Linked DNA regions of Xenopus tropicalis. The main gene of each other region encodes a partner of the protein of the gene in region 3 in a complex. Links are inferred from orthologs where the notes say so. Each region holds a gene or a part of one and is shown on either strand. Other genes may lie near its edges. The genes, in order: stk11, strada and cab39.

Region 1 (7,635 bases), on a different chromosome or scaffold from region 3:
ATCACAAGGTACTTTCTGTCCTGTGACTTCAGTTTGGAAATATAATAGTTTAGGGAGGGACACACTGCTAGCCACTGTACTCAAGGCATGCTGCCTTGAATAAATAAGCCGTTAACATACATAAACTATGTCATGTTGTAAATGCTACTAAGCAAAGAGATCAAAATATTTGTACAGAAATTATACACACATTTGTGGGCAGATTTATCAAAATGTGAGATTAGCGTTTACCCCAGAAAAAATCACCCAAATAATTAATGTAGCTATAAAAACAATTCATAGCAGTAGACATTACACATGGGTTGATTTACTAACAGAGGTGCTTAATTCATTCGTTTTTATTAGTCCTCTACAAGTAAGAAATTTACAGAGATTCCGACAGCAGAAATGAAACCTTTTTACATCATAACCTTGTGTTTGCATGCTATTTATAATTGTGCAGTAAAAGTATCTATCTAATGTTTATACATTACCTATCTGATCCCCCATGTTCCTCTATAAAGGGGGCTGCCATATTTGTGCAGCAGTTGTCCGTTAGCATTAGAAGCTATAACTAACAGGCTGAGAAGGGACAGTCAGGTTGGCAAAACAGTCAGGTTTAGGAACTTCATAACAATTACTTACAAAAGCAGCCCTATCAGCAAAAAAGATTAACATGACCTTTGGGTAGCTTTTTATGTAGATTCATATTTTAAAATTTCATTTTAAAAGTGTCATTTCACTTTAAAGCAAAGGTCTGATTGGTTGCTATGTGGAGCTGCACTGGTGAATTTAACTGTTAGTATATCAGCCCCTACAAAGTTTAAATGCATGTCAAAAAGTCTCCAGCTTACTTGGCAGCTTACAACAGGGGAGCACACGTGCTATGGTCTAGCAAGACAACTGATAGACCTGCAGGGTCAAATTAGGTGGACCTGCATCTGATTGAGGCCCACTGGCTTTGTGGATCTCACTTAGAAAGAGTATAACCATTCAGTCAGAATTGTTCCCCCACTGCTGCACAACATCTTGATGCTCACTACCCATAGCACTGCACGTTTTACTGCAACAGTTGTTCCTATATTCCTTTTAATATTGGAACTTAAACATTCATAGACCCAACTCTTGTGCCCCAGTGTACTGTGCCCCTTTGACTTACCATGTAGAACAGTATCCCTTAAAGACAAATCTGCACCATGGAAATTATAAACTCTCAGCGTCCTGTCACAGTACAGAGCAGGAACCAAGCAACAATAACAGAGCAGAACAAATAGAGGAAGGTATGAAGCAACACCCATTATGTCAGCATCACAAAAGGTAATGTTCCTGCTCTTATAGGATTTCATACATTATTAGAGAATATGTAGTTATCACATGACTCAAGTTCAGAAAAATTCTGTCCAAGGGGTAAAGTACTTTGGCAAGTCAAATGGGGTCTTTAAAAATGTAAGTAAAAATGTCCAGCAGTTACCTACTTGGGTTCTGATTGCAATAGGCCCAACTTTAGTGGTTATTGCCCTCTAGTGGCAAACATGAAAAGTACACTAAAAAAAATCACCCTATCTTAAGAGGTGATTAAAGTACAGCTGCCCTGATACCATGTAAAAAAGCAAGTATTATACTTTTTTGGTCAAATATTGGGAGTAGAGGCAGGAATTACTAAACGCCAAAAAAAACATGAAAAAGTTTTTTAAGTAACTGCTACCCTTGAACAAAAAAGCAGTACAGCTGAGCCAGATCCTTGTGCACACCTCCGCCACACGTGCAAGTTCCAATAAAGGAAAAAACTAAAATAGAAAGAATTGGGCAATGAGGCAGAAAACTTTTTATTGTCCAATATTGATGTTAACCACCATGAAACTATCAAAGCATTTTTTTTAGTAAAGTTGAGCAGGGACAAAAGTGTAAGTCGATGTCTGATCACTTGTTTCTGCTCCTGAAAAGATATTTTTATCCTTATTTATCACTCAACCAGTCATTAATAACATTGCCGCAGTTATGTTCTCTGTAGTGATGATGTCACAAATTCTTCTCATGGGGCTGTGACAAAATGCTGGAAGAGTGGGCCAGATCACCTTTCAAATCCCTCTGATATAGACATAGAAATAGGACCTAGTAAATCCTCCAGGCAATCCCCTTCTTACTGCAGGTGCTGCCAACACAGGGATCAAGAAGCAGCCCAGAACAGGATAAAAAAAAATCAGAGTAGGTGTAATGTTGTTCCATCCATCCCTGTATGAATGTTAACTGTTCCTTTTAATATGCATTAGCAGCTTAGCTGCTATCTAAGATCTCCATGTGGGTTTTCTAGTTCTGCTACATCTGTGTACCAGGTTATCACAGTAGGCACCAGAGGCAGTGCTTAAAGTAGTAAACTGAGCAGCAGGATCTGAAGATTTAACAAGATGACAGCAGGCAGGACCAGTCTGGGATTCAAATCAAGCCATGGCATTTCAAGTACACGGATTAAGCATTTTTAAGTACAAAGATTACTAGTCTGGGCCTGACATCAGTGGTAAGAACAACCAGACACACCCTTATAGGAACCCAGAACTTTTGGCTGCAAAACCGACAGGGAACCTGCACACTTCAGTATTAGGAGAGGAGAGTAAAGAGAAAAATATAACTATTTGTCAATTTCACCCAGTCTTTGGACCATGAGGCAACTGTGGAAAAGAAAGAGCCTAGAACACAAGATTACGTTTGGTTTAGTCACTCATTACTTTCTCTTTCTTAAATTAGCCCTTGTTTTGTCTCCAAACTGAAATCTGCCCCTTTGTTTTACAAAAACACTGAACCCACAGAAAACAAAAAACTAAAGATGAATGCTATCTGGCCCAAGTTCGCACAAAAACGTTCCCTTTTAGTCAAATTCAGAAAAGAGGCTTTAATGACAGCAGGTATTGCGGGAGAACAGGAAAAATTGTCAATTTTTGTGTGTACCCTGGCACAAGATATAAAAAATAAATTGTACTTTTCGCCTCTTTTTGGAGTATTTTCTTATAATTTTGCAAAGTGCTGAAACTCCAGTGATAGCAATTGGGCTACTGCCGCCTGCACCCACTAAGTTAAACAAGGATGGCTCTGCGGGTAGTGGGCATTGCTGGCAACCACACGAAAAAAATAATTTTTCCTACATAACTTCAAAAAAGCAGAGTTCCAACCACAGGAAAACTTTAGGGACACGATTTAGTGTCAGCCTATAGCTTACGGCTTATACTGCTTGATACTTATGTACTACGTCCCCACCCCACATTCCCCCTGACGGCTACGTGTAGCGTCATTACGCTTATTTACGTGTGTGACGTCACATCTATCGCGAGATGAGACTTGTGATGTCTGTAGTAGCTGTCCGGCAGGAGTCAAGGAGCTAGACGTTAACGGCGCTGCGGGACTTTTGAACAGCGAACCGGGACTGCAGGCTGTACTAAGAAAACCGGGATTGTCCCGGGAAAAGTGGGACTGCAAGGAGGAATGCTGTGTCCTTCAAGTATGGATGAAGGGGGGTCACAAGAGATTGGCTTTTTGGGAGACCTGTCAGTAGGAATGGACACTTTCATTCACCGCATTGACTCCACTGAAGTGATTTATCAACCTCGCCGCAAGCGTGCCAAATTGGTTGGAAAGTATCTGATGGGGGACCTTCTGGGGGAGGGTTCTTACGGGAAAGTAAAGGAAATGCTGGACTCTGACACACTGTGCCGCCGTGCTGTCAAAATCTTGAAAAAAAAGAAGCTGAGAAGGATTCCCAATGGAGAGGCAAATGTCAAGAAGTGAGTTTACTATTCCCCTTCCCATCTCCCCATTTTTATTTTAAAGTGTTGCCAAAGGTAAGGAAATATATGGGAGGTTATACTTGAGAGATACTGTGTTACATGTAAAATGTAACTGTTATTTAATAAACCACTCTGGGCTATAACCATTGGGAGAGAAGCTTTGCTGGGGTCATTCATTAGGATCAAAAACTTAAAAAAAAGTTTGAAAGTTACCCTGCATTTCCTATGAACCTTGCAGCATGTAAAGGTTACCTGGAGACTGTACTCAACAAAAACCACAGGCAACAGATATCTGCTTTTAATCTGAGCATTCCCTAGTTTCAGGGGACATAGTGCAAGAGGCATACACATTTGCTAAGGGGGTGGCAGTCCCCTGCAACAACTATAAAATGGGAAGCCACAATCAAAAGAAATGCTCTGTGATTTACAGATCAGTGACATTACGTTATAGCAACATGAGACAAGTAGCCCAGTACGTTATTCCATTTCATGGCTTAAGTCATATGGTTGAATGTTGCAGTTGTCTACTTTAGATTGCATTAGATTTTTAAACCGTTTTTTTACTTGTCTTCATGGCATTAAGTTGTGTAGGGTGCTTTAATCCTAAAAAAAAGAAAAAGAAAAATTGGCCCTGCACTATAGTTTCAGGGTGCACAGTGTGTGATAGTAATCATAACTAGAAAAAATTCCTAAGAAGGGAAGACACACAAAACATTTTTCTGGCACACTGTATACCACAATTAAAAATTGTATCTTTATTTCATCACTTAAAAACTTTGGTTAAAACTTTTGGATAGAAAAAAAGTAAGAAGGAAAGTTAAAATCTAATCTCTATTACCCGGGCTAATCACAAAGTTTGTATCTACTGTAACAACCCTTAACTTCAGTAAACGCTACAGTTGCAAATCCCTTTAGGGAAATAACGATACCCGCTACAACTTTAATCCTGACATTAGAATGCCTATTATATGTCTGACTAATGAAAGACAATGCATTTTGGAGTCTGCTAATTTGTAGGTACCCATGCAATGTCTACTGAATAGGATGTAACGTTGTCCCAATTTTGTGTGGTAACTGACACTATTCCATGTATTTCCCACACTATTCCATGTATCTCAAATGCCTATGTGTCCTGTTACAGCAACTGAATTAAAGTTGATGTTTTTATGTGGGAAGAAAATTGTTTATTTTTTCACAAGTTGCAAGGCTGCAGTTTTTGTTCATGTCTCAATATAATCAATATACTTGTAATCACAGTACAGGTATAGGCTCTTTTAATCAGAAAGCTCTAAAATATGTTGACGTAGAACCCATTTTAAGCAAACTGTTCTTATTTTATTAATGAAATAATATGAAATAATACATATACTAAATGGTAGCTAGGTTGCATGAAACCATGTTGGTGGAAAACAATCCTGTTGTGTTTATTTAATATATTAAGGGCTATGGGCATTTTTAGTTGATTTTGATCCCTGCATTTTTTGGCAAAAAGAAGAAATCTCCTACTAACCAGCCTCCCAGACTCCCACCTCTCTCCCCTGCAATCAATTTTAAACTCTGCTGCCAGGATCCTCCTGCTCTTTCCTAAGAGGGAACCTGCTCAGCCTTATTTAAGCTCACTAGCATGGCTGCCTGTTAAGCAAAGGATAGCTTACAAAATCCTTCTGCTGACATTCAAAGCCCTTCACTCCTCTGCTCCTCACTACATTTCTTCACTGGTCTCCCTACATGTTCCTGGTCGTCTTCTCCGCTCCCCTCAGAGCCTCCGTCTTTTTACACCATCCACACCCACTGCACTCTCTCGTCTTAAACCTTTCTATCTCTCTGCTCCTTACCTCTGGAATTCTATCCCTGAATCCCTCCGTAGGGAAAACTCACCCACTCTCTTTAAGAAAAAACTCAGCTGTTACCTTCTGGAGCACTAAAACATTATTTTGCCCAGTCCTGCGCTTAAGGGCAAATGCCCATACCTGGTGCACTCTTACCTTCCAGTTTGTGCCTGTATGTTACCCAACCACTTAGATTGTAAGTTCTACGGGGCAGGGACCTCCTTCCTACTGTGTCTCATACCACATGGCACTTATATATATATATATATATATATACATACATATATGTATTTATTTATTATATCACTCGTCCTCCCTGTGTGTAATTTTGTATTCTGTAAGACTGTACAGCGCTGTGTACCCTTGTGGCGCTTTATAAATAAAGTTATACGTACGTACGTACGTACGTACGTACGTACGTACGTACGTACGTACATACATACATATATACATTTGTATTAATTGCCAATCTAGGCTTGGTTTCTAAAGTGTATGCTCCTTGTCAGCAGAAAGTAGCTGGATATGGCACCCACTAGCATCCCTTGTGCAACCTTGCCTTTGAAAGGCTAGTCTAAAGGAGCAGGGCCATTCTGGGGAGAATTTGTTCATCCCTTTTATTCTCTGATCTTGACTTTTAAAACAGTTATCCTCCAGTCTGTTAATCAGCTGACATCTGCTACATTGTTTTAAGAAACAGAACTAGAATTGCAGAGAACAGCCAAACCTGTAATGCTTTTTATACCAAAACATTTACCAATATATTTTTATTAATTTATATTGAAAAGTTGATAGTATTACACTTTGCTTCATTTTACACTAAACTGTTTTGGGGTGGATTTCTCTCTTTAAGTAAAATGAGAGGATGGAACAAGGAATCCTTTTTGTGTGTATTTGTGACTTTCTACAGAACTTTAAACTAAAGTAACTGCAATTTGTCCCTTGTAGGAAAAAACAACAACAAATGCCCATTAGTGTAAATAGCATACAGCCTTTACCCGTGTCAGCTAATCTGACATAAACATTTGAATGAAAAGTCAAACAATTTTTAAAACCGTATTTGTAAAACCAAAATAGGTAATCAGGGCATAAATAACATCTTTAAGTAAAATACACCCACAAGTTCCTACAAGGAATTTTTAGTGTCTACATACATCCAGGCTTTTAGTTGTCATAAGGGTAGTATTGAATGGGGCTGTTTATGGCACTTTAAGTATTGTATCTTTAAGTAGTCCACAAACTTTGTATTAAAGCACCTGAAACAGCCCCCATATATTTTCACTGCAATAACCTGACAGGCACTCATACCAGTGCTTTTCAGGCAATAGTTGCCTGAAAGTGGCACTGTTGTACGTAGAGAGCATATTAATTTTAACATTTTTAAGGGCTGTCCAAATTCCATATAAATTGAACTTGGTTTTTCTAATGGTGGTGGTCATTCTTATCGTCACCGCCCATATATTAACTATATGCCACAGAGTGCCTCAACTTTAGGACCGAATTGTCACTGCTCTCTTATACAGTGACTGACTCTTCATGCATTCTCCTCAGCATAAAAAACATTTTGTATAACAATGTTCTGTGGGCAGGAGCTTGTTGCTTCTTAGAACATATGTTTCCCCCACACTAACTTTCTGTTTGACAGTTCCCTGGGCAAGCTTGTTTTTGTTAGGATTGCAGAACTCTAAATAAGGGGATATTTCCACTCACTCTAATAGAAAACTTTTAACAGGTGCCAGTAGGATTTGAATACTGTGTGCAGAAGTGCACAGATATTGGCAAATGAGCTGCTTCAAGATTCATCTTGAATATGTATTATAATAAATTTCTTATCTTTACATGAAGAAAAGAGTTGTGCACATTGAAGATGAGTTTAAAAAGTAGTATTGTTTACCCAATGTGTGAATAAATATATTTGGGTCAAGCAAATTTCATTTTTTGTTAATAAATCAGAACCCAGATTTTATGTTTGCCTGGAAGTTTGTCTGTTAAAATCTCATAGCAAAACTGGAGTTCTACTTTAAAGGAGACGGAAAGGTAAAAATCACTGGGGG
Region 2 (7,596 bases), on a different chromosome or scaffold from region 3:
GATAATTCCACTTTCTCAAATCAAAAGTATAATCTTAAAAACACTGTACAGGCCAGCTGCCCAGTAGTCAACTTTGTCTAACCTGCAGGAAGGTAACCATGTCATTGGTGCAGAACTCCAAATTCACCCTCCTGATACATACATATTCTGCATTTGGCCTGTAACGAGCTAAATTTACAGTCATCAAGTCGTCAAATCCTCTACCTAAAGAAAAGATAAAAACGTAAATAAATTAAAGAGCAAACAAAATTTAACATTGTTCTTTTCCATACCTTGTCTGTTCTATAACTCACCTATCACAGTAAGCAGTTCATAACAACTGCTGTCCGGGGTGTAGATCCCCATAGTGTTGGGACCATGGGAGGATGCTACGGATTCAACACTCGCTGCTTCATTGGTCTGAGATCCGCAAGGAGAATGGCACCCAACAGGAGGCAAAGGGAGACAAAATGAGACGGAGAAATGGTAGAACCTTCATTTTGATTGATCAATGACATGGGGTATATTCAAAGAATGGGATGAACTGCATTAAAACTGTGTGGATGTGGATGGGGGAGTAATACTCTACTTTCATCATGCAGCCATATAAAGGCAAAAAACTGCAGGCCTTATACAGCTAACTATTCTTTGCATTTCAACTCAGCACAACAGGACTTACCCCTGCTGAACAGGGAAGCAAAGCATTGCTTGTTTTGCTATGTAGCCGATTGTTATAGCTGATACTACTATTTATTCTGTATATGTGTACATGGTCACAGGGTTGGTCCTCCAACATAAATGTGTAATAGAAATCACACAGAGTAGTATGTAACTTATATTTAGTAAGGCGAAGATCAGAGGTGCCCCAAACCAGCACCTATGATTTTAAATATGTTTACATCTTAGATCCAAAAAAATATTCTTCCAAGCCTGTCTATGTTTTTTTTTCTGGCCAAGATACATGTTTAGAATGGGAAAGTGAATGCTGAGGTGACTGGCCATTTCTTAACCTAACACAGAAGATTGTGTAGCCATTTATAAAAATGAGCATAAGCGATGGCAGTGATTTTCTTCCCTGAATGCAAAAATATATAGGCAACTGGTACAGAGTACAGAAATCCGGTAAACTAACTACATCTGACCTCCATCAAGTATTTTTAAGCAGTATGAGTTTCTGTCAAATGGGGAGCAAGGTGCTTTCACTGGGGATTGAAGCATTGTAAAGAGCTGAGAGACCCAATGTAGTAGTAGCAAAGGTGGTTGGGTACGGTACTAATCTGTATATTTTACACACACAGTATACAGTTTGTATCTCACAAACAACAAAACATGGACAGTGGCATAAATCTCATAAATACAAAGGTAACTAATACAGCGGGCCCCTAATAACCTGGGCTTCAGTAACCCTTTTTTGGGGAGAGGCGAAGTCATATGAATGGACTTTATAGCAGAAGAAAAGATGCATTAGCACGATTCTACATGGACTGAAAGGGCACGGAGTCCCACAGAAATGGACACATGCAAATGCCATTCGGTCATGTTCCAAATACAAAGCACAAGACATGAGAATCTTTCTGTACATGAATCACTACAGACAACGGAAGGTGCATAATGTCACTCCACCAGCTAAATGTGCTTGCTCTAGGCAAGGACCAAAAACTTTTGCAAGCTCAGAAATCACTGGATGACACACCATGAAATTGAAATGGCACTACTGTCACTATATGTTAAGAGACTGGCAGCTTATCCCGTGGCCTCCATTGTCCGATCCCTGCCCTACAATATATAAAAGGGGGGAGCTTCCATATTTGAACACATGCACATAAGCTAGAGTGTACGTTTAATTAATCAGTATCATATATAGGTGTTATATTACAGTTTTTGAGACATAAATGGTTTACTAGTGAGCTCCTCAGCCAATCATTTGTCTTTCTTGCAGCATCAAACCTTATTGTGATGTCTGGAACATGGGCATTCCAAATAACCTGGTTATCCTGACGCTAATAAACTGAAACTCCCATCAACCTTTACTAGTCAGCCGGGAAACTGTGAAGCTTGACAGCAAGTAAAAAGGGACTGGAATTAAATGTTAATATCGTGGCTCTGTGTATTTGCACTGCTGGGTTACCTTTCTGCTCAGTGTCTTTAAAATACTTTCAGTTTCAAGCTACAAAATGTTTTTTGTGCTCTCCTGTGCAGTGGCTTTTATTGCATATTCTACAGGAGTTAACAGACCCCATTCTTCTCTACGGGGACTGCACCTACAGGACCACACTGAAAAGCCAAATGCAGATGAGACACAACATGCAGGGTTCCATATGCATGACTTCAATGAATTATAGGCAAGGGATGAGACTCTCCTCCACACCAAAACCGCCAGTCATGAAGAGGCCTACATGCAACATATACACACAGAATGAGCAGAGAGGGAAAGTCCCACTTACTTTCCTTTGAGAGTCCCCTAAATGCGAGTCTGGAGGAAGGGAGAGGATTATCTGCTCAGCTTCATGCAACAGATTAACATAACATAGGCCATAATTATCATAACTAATTAACTGGAAAGCTTGCAATTTACTGTAAAACAATGGCACAACTAGGGATTTTGTGCATTCTAGACCTCACTGATATTTTAATGTAGAATTAAAGACTAAAAATTAATAAGACTAGAGATGCTGTATTTTATATACCAAAACCATTGTTCCAGCAGAGAGGTTAGAACTCTATAACAGTGATAATCAAGGCCTTCAAAGTTGTCCAGAGGAGCTTCCCATCTTGAATGTTGTTAGACCAGATTTTGTTTGTCAGTGACACTGCACATGCTCAGTGCGCTTTGGGCTGCCATTGAGTAGCTAAACTTAGGGATCGTTAGAAATCAACAGGCAGAAAATTGGGTTTGCCTGTCAGAGAAACTGAAGCAGCAGGGTTGATTACATTCTGACGCAGAAACCTCTGATTTCTGAGCATCTTCAGAGGCGCAGATATTAATTTCTAAAGGGCTGTGGTTGCCTTGAGCTAGTAAAGCCCAAAACATGTAACAACTGCAGCCTAACTTTTTTTGTCACGCTTTAGTTATCCTTTAATACTTCTAATAACCTTTCTAATGGAACAAGGCTTTAATGTCAGAGTATTTGTGATCCTTTAGTCAGTAACTTTTCAAACCCCTACAAATTATGACCGGCATGGAAAAGGTTGCTAAGATACCATCCAGGGATGTAGCCTATGCAAAAATTAGTAAATAGCGCTTGTCAGAGTAAAAGTTGCAAGAGCAGCTCACCTCCAAAAAACTCCAGCTCTCTCAAACCATCAACCAGGATCTTGTCTGACACCCAGCGCTGCGGAAAGAGGAGAATCACTGTAGTAATCCCAGCAATAGAGCAAGAGCTAGCCCTAACTAGGATCTTTTGCACGGCAGAATGGGTTTAAATGTATCTGTAAAAGGCATTAAGTTCTGACTCTTGAAACAATGTCAGTTACGCTCTAGGCCTGCTAATCAGCTGCCTTCCACTGCACTGTTTCAAAGTCAGAACTGGCCATGTGCCTTACAAAAAGACCTTATTTAGGCAAATGTATCTTCCTTGGTAGGATTACTTACAAGAAAAGACATGGGGTCCTTTTAGTGCTGCCCGGGCGTTCAAAGGCCATAAACTGTACAGTCTAAAGATAAGAGACATGACACATATGGGGTGCGGCAAAGCCAAGTATTTCATGTGAAAACCCCGCCTAGCAGCTCTTGTCATCACACAGCCGACACTTGCACAGCCGACACTTGCACACCTGACACAGGCTAGCTTCCCTCACTATCACTGCACCAGCGTTACGCTACAGGGTCCCCTTGGCTTTAATAAAACAGCACTTCTTTCAAACCTAGTGTTTTTGCTTTGAAATGCCAGTTCTTAATAATGTAAGGTATTACAAAATCCAGGTGGCCCCAAAGTGTTACCCTTGTATATGGAATTTTATAAATAAGGTTGTCCTGGTTGTCAATGCACAATGCTCTGTTCATTTAGACTTCATCAGTACTCCCACCCAGGGGGGTAACCCTGCCAGCTGGTAACATGCAGTCTATGCAAGCCAGGTTCCACATGCAACGTGTGCCCCAAGTCAGCTCCCTCTAACTCTCATAATCAGCTCTCCCCTTCAGCTAGACTGTTTTGGCAGTCAGAACCAGCAGTGCAGCATGCTGCAGCTAAAAGTCATGATAAAGTATCTTTAGCTTACATTTAGCAGCCCCTGTTTAGGTCAGAGGTATAATGGGTGCCTATAAGTGTGTGTATGACAGTATACCCTGCAATGCATACAACATGATGATTTTGCCCCCCTCCCTCAGCCTCAGAGGCGCAGTTAATAGCGCCAGTAACAGCCCTTATGTATAGTACTAGAGCCGTTCCTATATTCCTGCCAATGAGCGGGTACCTGGATGTGTAGTGGAGGCTTTATTTACGGTAGCGGCTAGTTCCTTTCCTCGGAAGGGACCTTCGTGACGTCACGGTCATGTGGTAATACCATGTGACCGCTCTATTGCGCATGCCCCATTATTGCGCGGTACGTTCAAATACGCAGACGTGCTAATGGTTTCTACTGGCAGATTTTCTGGGGGGGTATCAACTCTGCCTGTGATTTTCTGGGGGGGGGGGGGAGTATCACTGTGCCTCTGATTTTCTGGGGGGTATCACTGTGCCTCTGATTTTCTGGGGGGGTATCATTGTGCCTTTTGTTTTCTGGGAGGGGTATCACTGTGCCTCTTATTTTCTGGGGGGTAATCACTGTGCCTCTGATTTTCTGGGGGGGGTATCAACTCTGCCTGTGATTTTCTGGGGGGCGGGGTGGTATCACTCTGCCTGTGATTTTCTGGGGGGGTATCAACTCTGCCTGTGATTTTCTGGGGGGGGTGGTGGTATCACTCTGCCTGTGATTTTCTGGGGGGGTATCAACTCTGCCTGTGATTTTCTGGGGGGGGGGGGTGGTATCACTCTGCCTGTTATTTTCTGGGGGGGTATCACTCTGCCTGTGATTTTCTGGGGGGGTATCACTGTGCCTCTGATTTTCTGTGGGCCTTGGGGTGGGGGGGGTCACTTTGCCTCTGATTTTCTTTGGCCTATGGCGTGGGGGGATCACTGTGCCTCGGATTTTCTGTGGGCCTTGGGGTGGGGGGTGGTATCACTGTGCCTCTGATTTTCTTGGGGGGTATCAACTCTGCCTGTGATTTTCTGGGGGGGGTGGTATCACTCTGCCTGTGATTTTCTGGGGGGGGTGGTATCACTCTGCCTGTGATTTTCTGGGGGGGTATCACTCTGCCTGTGATTTTCTGGGGGGGTATCACTCTGCCTGTGATTTTCTGGGGGGGTATCACTCTGCCTGTGATTTTCTGGGGGGATATCACTGTGCCTCTGATTTTCTGTGGGCCTTGGGGTGGGGGGGGTCACTTTGCCTCTGATTTTCTTTGGCCTATGGCGTGGGGGGATTACTGTGCCCCTGATTTGCTGGGGGGGTATCACTGTGCCTTGGATTTTTATTTGGCCTATGGGGTGGGGGGATCACTGTGCCTCGGATTTTCTGGGGGGGATATCACTGTGCCTCAGATTTTCTGTGGGCCTTGGGAGGGGAATCACTGTGCCTCGGATTTTCTTTTGGCCTATGGGGTGGGGGGATGACTGTGCCTCTGATTTGCTGGGGGGGTGTATCACTGTGCCTCGGATTTTCTTTTGGCCTATGGGGTGGGGGGATCACTGTGCCTCTGATTTTCTTTGGCCTATGGGGTGGGGGGATTACTGTGCCCCTGATTTGCTGGGGGGGGGATATCACTGTGCCTTGGATTTTTATTTGGCCTGTGGGGTGGGGGGATCACTGTGCCTCTGGTTTTTTGTGGGCCTTGAGGGGGGGAATCATTGTGCCTCTGATTTGCTGGGGGGGGTATCACTGTACCTCGGATTTTCTCAGGGGGTATCACTGTGCCTCTGATTTGCTGCGGGGGTGTATCACTGTACCTCGGATTTCCTTTTGGCTATGGGGTGGGGGGTATCACTGTGCCTCGGATTTTCCTGGGGGGGTATCACTGTACCTCGGATTTTCTCAGGGGGGTATCACTGTGCCTCGGATTTTTTCGGGTGGGGTATCACTGTGCCTCGGATTTTCTGGGGGGTGCATCACTGTGCCTCGGATTTTCTGGGGGGGGGATCACTGTACCTCGGATTTTCTGGGGGGGTATCATTGTGCCTTTTGTTTTCTGGGAGGGGTATCACTGTGCCTCTTATTTTCTGGGGGGTAATCACTGCGCCTCGGATTTTCTGTGGGGGTATCACTGCGCCTTGGATTTTCTGTGGGGGTATCACTGCGCCTTGGATTTTCTGGGGGCGGGATCACTGCACCTCGGATTTTCTGGGGGGAGGATAACTGTGCCTCTGATTTTCTGGGCTGGGGGGTATCACTGTGCCTCTTATTTTCTGTGGGCTTTGGGGGGGGGGGGGTGAATCACTGTGCCTCTGATTTTTTTGGAGGGGTATCACTGTGCCTTTTATTTTCTGGGGGGTAATCACTGTGCCTTTTATTTTCTGGGGGGGTATCACTGTGCCTTTCATTTTCTGGGAGGGGTATCACTGTGCCTTTCATTTTCTGGGAGGGGTATCACTGTGCCTCTTATTTTCTGGGGGGTAATCACTGTGCCTCGAATTTTCTGTGGGGGTATCACTGCGCCTCGGATTTTCTGGGGGGTATCACTGCGCCTTGGATTTTCTGGGGGGGGGATCACTGCACCTCGGATTTTCTGGGGGGGGATCACTGTGCCTCGGATTTTCTTTGGTCTATGGGTGGGAGGATCACTGTGCCTCTGATTTTCTGGGCTGGGGGGTATCACTGTGCCTCTGATTTTCTGTGGGCTTGGGGGGGGGGAAACACTGTGCCTCTGATTTGCTGGGTGAGTGGATCACTATGCCTTTGATTTTCTGTGGGCCTTGGGGGGGAATCACTGTGCCTCTGATTTGCTGGGGGGTATCACTGTGCCTCAGATTTTCTTTATGCCTATGGGGTGGGGGGGATCACTGTGCCTCTCGGATTTTCTGGGGGGTTATCGCTGTGCCTCGGATTTTCTGTGGGCCTTGGCATGGGGGGATTACTGTGCCCCTGATTTTCTGTGGGCCTTGGGGGGGTATCAGTGTGCCTCGGATTTTAATTTGGCCTATGGGGTGAGGGGATCACTGTGCCTCTGATTTTCTGTGGGCCTTGGGGGGCGTATCACTGTGCCTCAGATTTTCTTTTGGCCTATGGGGTGGGGGTATCACTGTGCCTCGGATTTTCTGGGGGGGTATCACTGTGCCTCGGATTTTCTTTGGTCTATGGCAGGGGTAGGGAACCTATGGCTCGGGAGCCAGTTGTGGCTCTTTTGATGGCTGCATCTGGCTCGCTGCCAAATCTTTAATAAAAAAAATAATGGGGGGTGTGGCCTGCGCTCGGCGGATAGAAGACATGTTCTAAGCCTTAGAAAACGTCTTCTATCCACTGAGCGCAGGCCACACCCTCCTCTGCATCGCATCCGGCATCCTTGGGACCCACCCTACCTTGCCCCGCAGCATCCACGGCCAAACATATTGTATGACTCTCACGGAATTACATTTTAAAATAGGT
Region 3 (7,725 bases):
AATATGGCCATCTTCAAATTTCAATAATTCTTTTCCATTATTCTCAAATGTTGTGTTTTTTTCTTAATCTCAGCTACGCATCTCAGTGTCACAAAGAATGTACTCACTGTAAGGCTGCACACAAGGATAATAAAGTGATGTGCTGTAGATGGCCCTGCTCTGACCTAGCAGCAACTAAGGCACAGGGGTTATAACTGTACCAACACTTGGCACTTGGGTAGGCAGCAGAGAGTTTTTGAAGTAAATAGATGAAGACGGGTAAATAGATGAAGAAGGGTATCAGTAAGGCTAAGTGAGGGCACACAAAAGATACACCATAGGAGAAGAAAGTGATGTAAGTATGCATTTTGGGCTTAAAAAAAAAAAAAAAAAAAAAAAAAAAGATGTTTAGGCCCAATTGAGAAGAACACAAATGGAGCACAAAGATAACCATAGGATACTGATAATTAAGAAAAGAGATAGCTCAGAAAAGTAAAGACTGATATGAGTGGATCAACTTGTAGTTAGGCAGGTTAGGTATAGGCATTATGGTTGAACTTGATGGACGTATGTCTTTTTTCAACCCAACTTACTATGTTACTATGTTACTATGAGTGCCATCAGCAGAAACAAAGTAAAACATTACAGGGGATTATTATATTTTACAAGGGAGGAGATACAAAGAAAAGGCTGAACTCTGTGGTATACCAAAGGACAATTACAACAGAAGAAGGTCATAAGGAAAATTGGAGGTGCGAAAAATCAAGAGAAGCTAATGCTAGGCAAACCAAAGGAGTGGAGAGCTCGGAGAACAGTGGACATGTTTAAAATCACCAATAAAAATGGAGCCTGAGAAAGAAGCGATATATGAGGTAGCTTGGCAATAGCTATAGCGATAAAGAAAATTTAATTTGTAGATGTTTAATAATCATTGGCTATGAGTTATAGACAAAAGCACATACTTCACAACTAATATTACTTCACTGAAAAACGAGACTATACAGGCAACTCTGAGTCAGGTTAGAAAGAGAACAACCTCTGGAGTAACCTCCCCCAGATGGACAGAATGATTGAGATATAGTGCACAAACACACTTACACTTGTGCAAATAAAGTGCTTCAGAGAACACATGTTCATAGGGATTTCTTAACAGTCATGCCATGGGACACACAAAAATAAAGGGCTCAAAAGCTTTTATTCCAGTGGTGAATAGTAGATCAGAAATATTTGGACAAATATAGCATTTAATCTATGGGAGATTATGAAAGGAGCTTGAGGTACTTTGTCCACCACCATCAATTATATATGAATTGAATTCATCTTGTAAGAATGGTGGTGTTGTGGTCACCTACGACCCGAGGGGCCTAAGGGGCACTTACTAACAGTATTTGACTGAGCTTTTTTTCTGTAGAACATCATGAGCATATTTAAGCCTTATTTTTGTCTTCAAGGTTAAACCCTAATTGGTTACTTACTCCTAAAATGTATTTACATTGACCTGAAATCCCAACATGGCAATATTAGAACAGTAACCATGCAACATACAGAGCAAGACTGTGATGCAAATAAGCTTAATAGGGTAGAGGGTAAAGAAAAGTCTTCCAATTCCATATATAAAACAATTAATGCTGCTCAGTTTAATAATACTCAGCATTTATAGACATTCTATGCAATGCACACTGAAAATAAAGTTTGTTACACTCGCAGGAATATTATGGCATGGTATCATAGCTACATAATTAAGTTGGGTTGAAAAAAGTCCATTAAGTTTAACCCTTCCAAGCGAACCCCAGCGCACATACACAGATCCATACCGACCTATCTATAGACTCACATACATAAACTGTAAATACCAACATCAATACTAATTGTAGATTGTTATTACTGATCCTAAATACCAGATCAAACTGCATTTCATAGATGGATGATGCAAAACATTTCACTGCAGGCATATGGGTTATGTACCAATAAACAGGAAATTGCTTCACAAGATGCATCCTGAAAAGACTGGTGAACTACAATTCCCAGCACGCCCCAATATCCTACAGCAGGTCTAGGCACTAATAAAAAAAACATGATGCTGTATATTATAATCTTAATTGTCTGTAAGATTTGTTATTTGTGACTTTACAGAGTGGTTTGTTTACACTGCATATAAGGCATATAATGCTGCCCATGTAAGAATTACATAGACTGTAAGCTCTATGGGGCAGGGACCTCCTTCCTACTGTGTCTCATAGCACATGGCACTTATTCCCTGTGTATTTATACTTATTTATTGTATTTATTATAACACTTGTCCTCCCTGTGTGTAACTGTGTATATTGTAAGATTGTACAGCGCTGCATACCCTTGTGGCGCTTTATAAATAAAGTTATACATACATACATACATACAATTAAATGGCTGGCTGTTGGAGTGGGCATGTGCCGATAGAAAGAAAATAGTATAGAGAATTTATGCAGTAAGATAAATACTTTTAAGCTAATGAGGAAGTCACTAAAAGGATGTGATGATGTGATCACTAAAGCCTGACAGATGCCAGTACAGCTATAGTAAGTAGCACATTAGGCCACTGGTAATGAATATTACAGGCAGATTGTTACCTGCCTAGTCTAAACACAATGGGAGTGATGGGTGGCAGATACAATAAAAGCCTAGGATGTGCCATGGGAGCCAGTAGCATGCCATTCTATGGGCTGCAGAGGTGGGCGACCCCAGACTGACAGGCAAAGACCTGACCGAACAAACACACCTGACAGGTGCCAGTATAATGTTATCATAGAACAACAAACAGCGGCCAGCTGGCAAGCTCCAAAAGCTAAAAGTCAGCAGCAGCAGGCACATTGCCACAAGCACACACCATATCATAATAATGCACGTTTGGCTACACAGGCAGTGAGATGCTGGCCACACACACACACACACACACACACACATATATATATATACACACACACACACATATATATATATATATACACACCCACACACATATATATATATACACACACACACACACACACACACACATATATATATACATACACACACACACACACACACACACACACACATATATATATACATACACACACACACACATATATACACACTCACACACATATACATACACACATACACATACATACACACACACACACACACACACACACACACACACACACACATATATACATACACACACACACACACACATACATACACACACACACACACACACATATACACATACACACACATACATATACACATACACACACATATACACATACACACACATACACACACACATATATATATACATATACACACACACACACATATACACATACACACACACACACACGGCACCAAGTTGCACAGGGAAGGGACATTACACACCAGTGAGCTACAGCGCTGCAGGTGACGGACACACCCTCTCTGGAATCACTTGGGTTCGCCCCTCTGGTTACAGGAGAGTGTCTGTGGGCTTCTTTCTTCTCGGCTCTCTCTCTCTCTCGGGGCTTCCCTATCTCCGCTCAGTGCCAAGATGCCAAGAAGGATAGGCCTCTACTAGGATCCTTTCACTTCCAGATCACTCCCCGGTGCCCCTGGTTACCGGTCACTCAGGAGGGTCTCTCTCCTTTCGGGTCACTCCGGGCGGCTCCTCCCGTCTCTATGGTGCTCTCAGGCCCAGAAGGTTCCTTTTCCGGCGCATAGCATGACGTCACTAAGGTAGCGACTTCCGGACTGCAGGAGAACTGACTGTGCCAATTTGGTGTAGTTCGGGCTTGGGGAGAGATACGTTCTGTGGGCAGTTGAGGGCGCCTTTGTGGCCGTGGGACAGAATATACAGATGATTAGCTTGTACCGTGTTTTTAGAACTATTGTAACGCGTGTCCGAGGAGAAGTACAAACAACACAGCAAATTATTATAAGCATTGACTCATCGCCCTTCTGTTTGTCTCTTTCCTATAAAGAACTGCAGCATCAGCCGGGCAGCATGCTTACTCCTCCCTATTAATAACACCGGCCAGGCGGCATCCTAGTGTATGAATACAGCGCGGAGTTGTAACCCACAGACCTGGGTCTATAACATTTCTTGTGTAGGCAGAGATGTACAAAGACATTTGTCAAAGACCATTTTAATAAATGGCCAATAGGACAAAAATAGGCTTCCTTATTCCTTTGTGTCACTATTGGACATTAAAGAATGTTATTCCATTCGGAACTTATTTTATTCTCTCAGATCTTTAAACAAGGACAACTTTATTGGCACCCTAGGCATACAATTGGGTAGCACAACCAGGTAACTGAAACACCAGTAGGAAAATATCTGAGAAAAACTTGCTGAGTGGTGCTTGTATTACAGAGCATGTTTATGAGCACGCAAGCTGTGAAGGTTCCTATAAGAGACAGTGTTGCTGACACTAATCGATTTAAAAATAGAATTTGTGATGTAATGAATGACTCTTTATCTTGTTTTGAGTAAATTCTGACAAACAAGGCTTAGGAAGTATGCCCCGTGAATGAGGGGGAACGTTCAAATTGTCTAATTGCTCCTATCGTATAAAAATTGTTTGCTAATAAAATCTGCACTCCAAATGGGGTAAAAGCTAGTATTTTCCCAAGAACCCCTCACTATTGCTGCCCCCCTCCAATCTCGGGGATCTCCAGGTGCGTGTGGCTATGTTGGAGCACCTTATTCCCCAGGGATAATACTATTCCCCAGCTCGTTTGTTGGATCAGGGGATGCATCAATCCTACGTCACGCATATATATAATGAGTGAGATGGGGTATTAGCTCCTTTGCATGAGCTCCAACGCGGCCACCATGCCAGGAGCTCCCTCCAGCTGCAAAATATGAATTGTTTCATCCATCTAGAGCAGTGCTGTCCAACTTCTACGGTGCCGAGGGCCGGAATTTCTCTAGCATACATGGTGGAGGGCCGCTAATGGAAGCCAGTTTTGACCACTCCCCTTTTTGAAACCACACCCACTTCAAACCACACCTATTTTATCACAATGGTGGTAACACAGCAAAATCCCAAATGCTTGGTCCTTACTGTGGGGATATCAACCATCATTCATATGTGAAAGAATTATGTCATATTAAGATATACCCTTAAATTCCATATGCCTCCTCCTCCCCTGTGGATAGCAGAGCAACCCCCAGTACATAATTACACACCTTAGGGACCATTTAATGGCTATTTCCAACTGCTAACAAACTCCCACAACAAACCCCTGCCAGGTTCACCTCCCACAAGCAGCATAGAGCAAGCAGAGTATGGCACACACAGGCAGCACTCTGCCTGTCCTATGCTGTCTGTGTGTGCCATACTCTGCCTGTCCTACCCTGCCTATGTGTGCCATACTCTGCCTTCTCTATGCTGCCTCTGTGTACCATACTCTGCCTGCCCTACCCTGACTGTGTGTGCCATACTCTGCCTGCCCTACCCTTCCTATGTGTGCCATACCCTCCCTGACCTATGCTGCCTGTGTGTGCCATACTCTACCTGCCCTATGCTGGCTGTATGTGCCATACTCTGCCTACAGTACCTATGTCTGAGGTGTGAAGAAGTGAACAATGGGGGTGATTACAGTCTGAGCCTAAGGTGTGAACACTGCAGAGGGTGAACAATGCAGGTATTAAAAGGTGTGAAAAACACAGGGGATTACATTTTTAAACAATACAGAGGGATTACAGCCTGAATCTGAGGTGTGAGCCATGCAGGGGGCCAGTTAATCTCAGTACTGATACCATTTAATGCTTACTCAAAGGTAAGCCATCAAAGCAGCCAGACAGGTGGGGGGCCACACAGAGGGGGGTCGCGGGCCGCCAGTTGGACAGCACTGATCTAGAGTATGGGCTCTATTAGCCCATGTCTGTGGTGGGGGAAACAGTTTTTTAACAGATAAACAGAGATCTACCTTAAAGGAGACATATATAAAAATTAAGAATTATACTCCTCTAGATATAGAAGGATTGTGCTTAAAAAAGTAGTGTTTTGGACTGATTTATTGAGAAATTCCACCAAAACCCTACTAGTCCCGCCCATCTGTTCCACTTCCTGCTGGCTGAATTCTCTGGATGTGCAGGGGAGCCGGCGGCTCTCAGTACACTGCACTGTAAGATAGGAACCAATCAGCAGTTAGACTGACCTGATAGGGAACAGAAGCCTGTCTTTGCTTGTGTGAGTGCAGGGCTGTGATTGGCTATCCTCCCCCTGCTGTGCTTTTGGCAGGGACCATTAGGACACGTGCTGTTTGTTCATTTCTGCAAATAAATGATTTAAAGGCATTGCCGACACACTGGAGTGCTTCTTCCCCTTTGCAAAGACCATTAGGACACGCCCACCCTTCATTTGAATTACTGACAGAGTACTTATAGGATCTATAGGGAGCTCCAATAAAGGGGCCATTTTTGCAGACAATATTCAATTTTAGACCAATGTGAAACCAGCACCATATATTATTCATAATTGCCCACAAAATTAGGGGTTTTTAAGTCATCGAAAAAAATTATGATATGTTCATATGTAACAATGCTAATAATGCTAAACAGGCATATCTAGAGGGGGCACACAGACAGCTTGGGCCGCTGGAGCATTACACAAAATCTTTTGTGCCTCATTAATCTTCTGCTAACATTTTCATTCACAACCCAAAAGAGAACCCTTCTAAAAATAATAAACAGCCCTGTTTTGGATATACAAACAATATTATCACCACATTGAAAGGTTTCCCAGCATCCTTCAAAGCAATGGTAAGTGCTGCCAGTAATAAGCTTACTATTTGTTTCACCTCTGAAATATTTCTAGATAAAATGGTTTATCAACAGAGATTTTAACTGCACATAAATAGCAAGATGTGTCAGGGAAGCTTGAGGGGAAGGCATTACATAAAAAGCTGAAAAGGAAATGAAATATTTGCCGTTAACTGTATATGCTGTAGCTTTATTTGCTTGTTGTTTTGCAGTCTACTCCAGCTCTTCCAGATTTTAGGGATGCCTAAGCCCAACTGCAGCTTTCACATCTCTCCAAATGTGTTTAGTTGGATTTAGATTGTACTCGTTGTTGGCCACTTAGTGCAGTCCAGGGCCTTTTGAAGGGTGTTTTGGTCGCTGGAAGCTCATGATCTGATGACCTATCTTCCAATATTGTGCTCCAGAATGCATTGGTAATCTCCAGATCTCATGATTTCATGCACAGACTCAAGTCCCCCAGTTCCAGGGGCAGCAAAGTAACCCCAAAACTTCAACAAACCTCCTCCATGTTTGACTGTAGGGATGGTACTTATTTCTTTGAAGGCTTAATTTTTTTCTTTAAACAAGAGATTAAAAAGCATTTGCCTGCAGGCCATGCAGAGGGTTTTTACTTGTACAGATAGGTTTTGGTGGACAATGTAACTATGTAGGCAGGTTTGATTTTTCCATCAGATTGGGGGATGGTGACCAACAGGGCCTATTCCCGCCACTCTAATACTATTGTTTGGCCCTAGGGCCAAACAATCAAATTAGCCCAGTATAGCCCATCTGTAGGTGGGCTATATCAGGAAAAGATCTGCTCACTTGGTGACCTCACCAAACGAGTAGAACTTACAGTGTATGGCCACCTTAAGGATCAACTCCAATCTGTCTTGCAGACAAAACATTACTACCTTGGGAGATGGACTTGAGATTCCCATGTTTTTGTTATACATTTCTGTCTCACCTACTGAAAAAGTTCTCTGCTTTCCTCT

The links.
Region 1: the proteins of cab39 (region 3) and stk11 are in contact, whole or in part, in a crystal structure (PDB 2WTK), measured with the Homo sapiens proteins. The link is inferred for Xenopus tropicalis from reciprocal best matches to the Homo sapiens genes CAB39 and STK11. Residues at the interface, in NP_001124321.1 of Homo sapiens: Gln109, Gly111, Thr112, Lys196, Leu197, Leu238, Asp239, Arg240, His241, Phe243, Met246, Ile250, Val280, Ala283, Asn284, Pro285, Glu317, Gln318; in NP_000446.1 of Homo sapiens: Gln100, Arg103, Arg104, Glu165, His168, Ser169, Gly171, Leu201, His202, Pro203, Phe204, Ala205, Ala206, Asp207, Asp208, Phe234, Arg301, Ser307, Arg310, Lys311, Lys312.
Region 2: the proteins of cab39 (region 3) and strada are in contact, whole or in part, in a crystal structure (PDB 3GNI), measured with the Homo sapiens proteins. The link is inferred for Xenopus tropicalis from reciprocal best matches to the Homo sapiens genes CAB39 and STRADA. Residues at the interface, in NP_001124321.1 of Homo sapiens: Leu26, Glu27, Lys28, Gln29, Tyr55, Gly56, Thr57, Asn58, Ala85, Asp86, Gln88, Leu89, Phe92, Glu93, Lys96, Arg107, Glu138, Leu141, Ile145, Ser176, Thr177, Phe178, Asp179, Ser182, Asp183, Glu221, Asn222, Tyr223, Val224, Arg227; in NP_001003787.1 of Homo sapiens: Pro64, Leu104, Glu105, Cys107, Ser108, Asn109, Val112, Gln116, Leu119, His120, Lys123, Leu124, Phe125, Asn126, Thr136, Phe137, Ile138, Asp140, Asn141, Leu143, Tyr185, Met189, His223, Gly224, Arg226, Val426, Asp427, Asp428, Trp429, Glu430.

The regions. Positions count from the first base shown.
Region 1 is NC_030677.2:100,091,496-100,099,130, reverse strand, and holds the start of stk11 (serine/threonine-protein kinase STK11), read left to right. Parts: upstream 1-3,335; 5' UTR 3,336-3,453; coding exon 3,454-3,752; intron 3,753-7,635. UniProt on the Homo sapiens protein: Tumor suppressor serine/threonine-protein kinase that controls the activity of AMP-activated protein kinase (AMPK) family members, thereby playing a role in various processes such as cell metabolism, cell polarity, apoptosis and DNA damage response.
Region 2 is NC_030686.2:17,095,797-17,103,392, forward strand, and holds the start of strada (STE20-related kinase adapter protein alpha), read right to left. Parts: upstream 4,503-7,596; 5' UTR 4,393-4,502; intron 3,634-4,392; 5' UTR 3,584-3,633; coding exon 3,572-3,583; intron 3,312-3,571; coding exon 3,254-3,311; intron 2,453-3,253; coding exon 2,424-2,452; intron 400-2,423; coding exon 294-399; intron 205-293; coding exon 83-204; intron 1-82. UniProt on the Homo sapiens protein: Pseudokinase which, in complex with CAB39/MO25 (CAB39/MO25alpha or CAB39L/MO25beta), binds to and activates STK11/LKB1.
Region 3 is NC_030681.2:128,014,843-128,022,567, forward strand, and holds the start of cab39 (calcium-binding protein 39), read right to left. Parts: upstream 3,933-7,725; 5' UTR 3,385-3,932; intron 1-3,384. UniProt on the Homo sapiens protein: Component of a complex that binds and activates STK11/LKB1. In the complex, required to stabilize the interaction between CAB39/MO25 (CAB39/MO25alpha or CAB39L/MO25beta) and STK11/LKB1.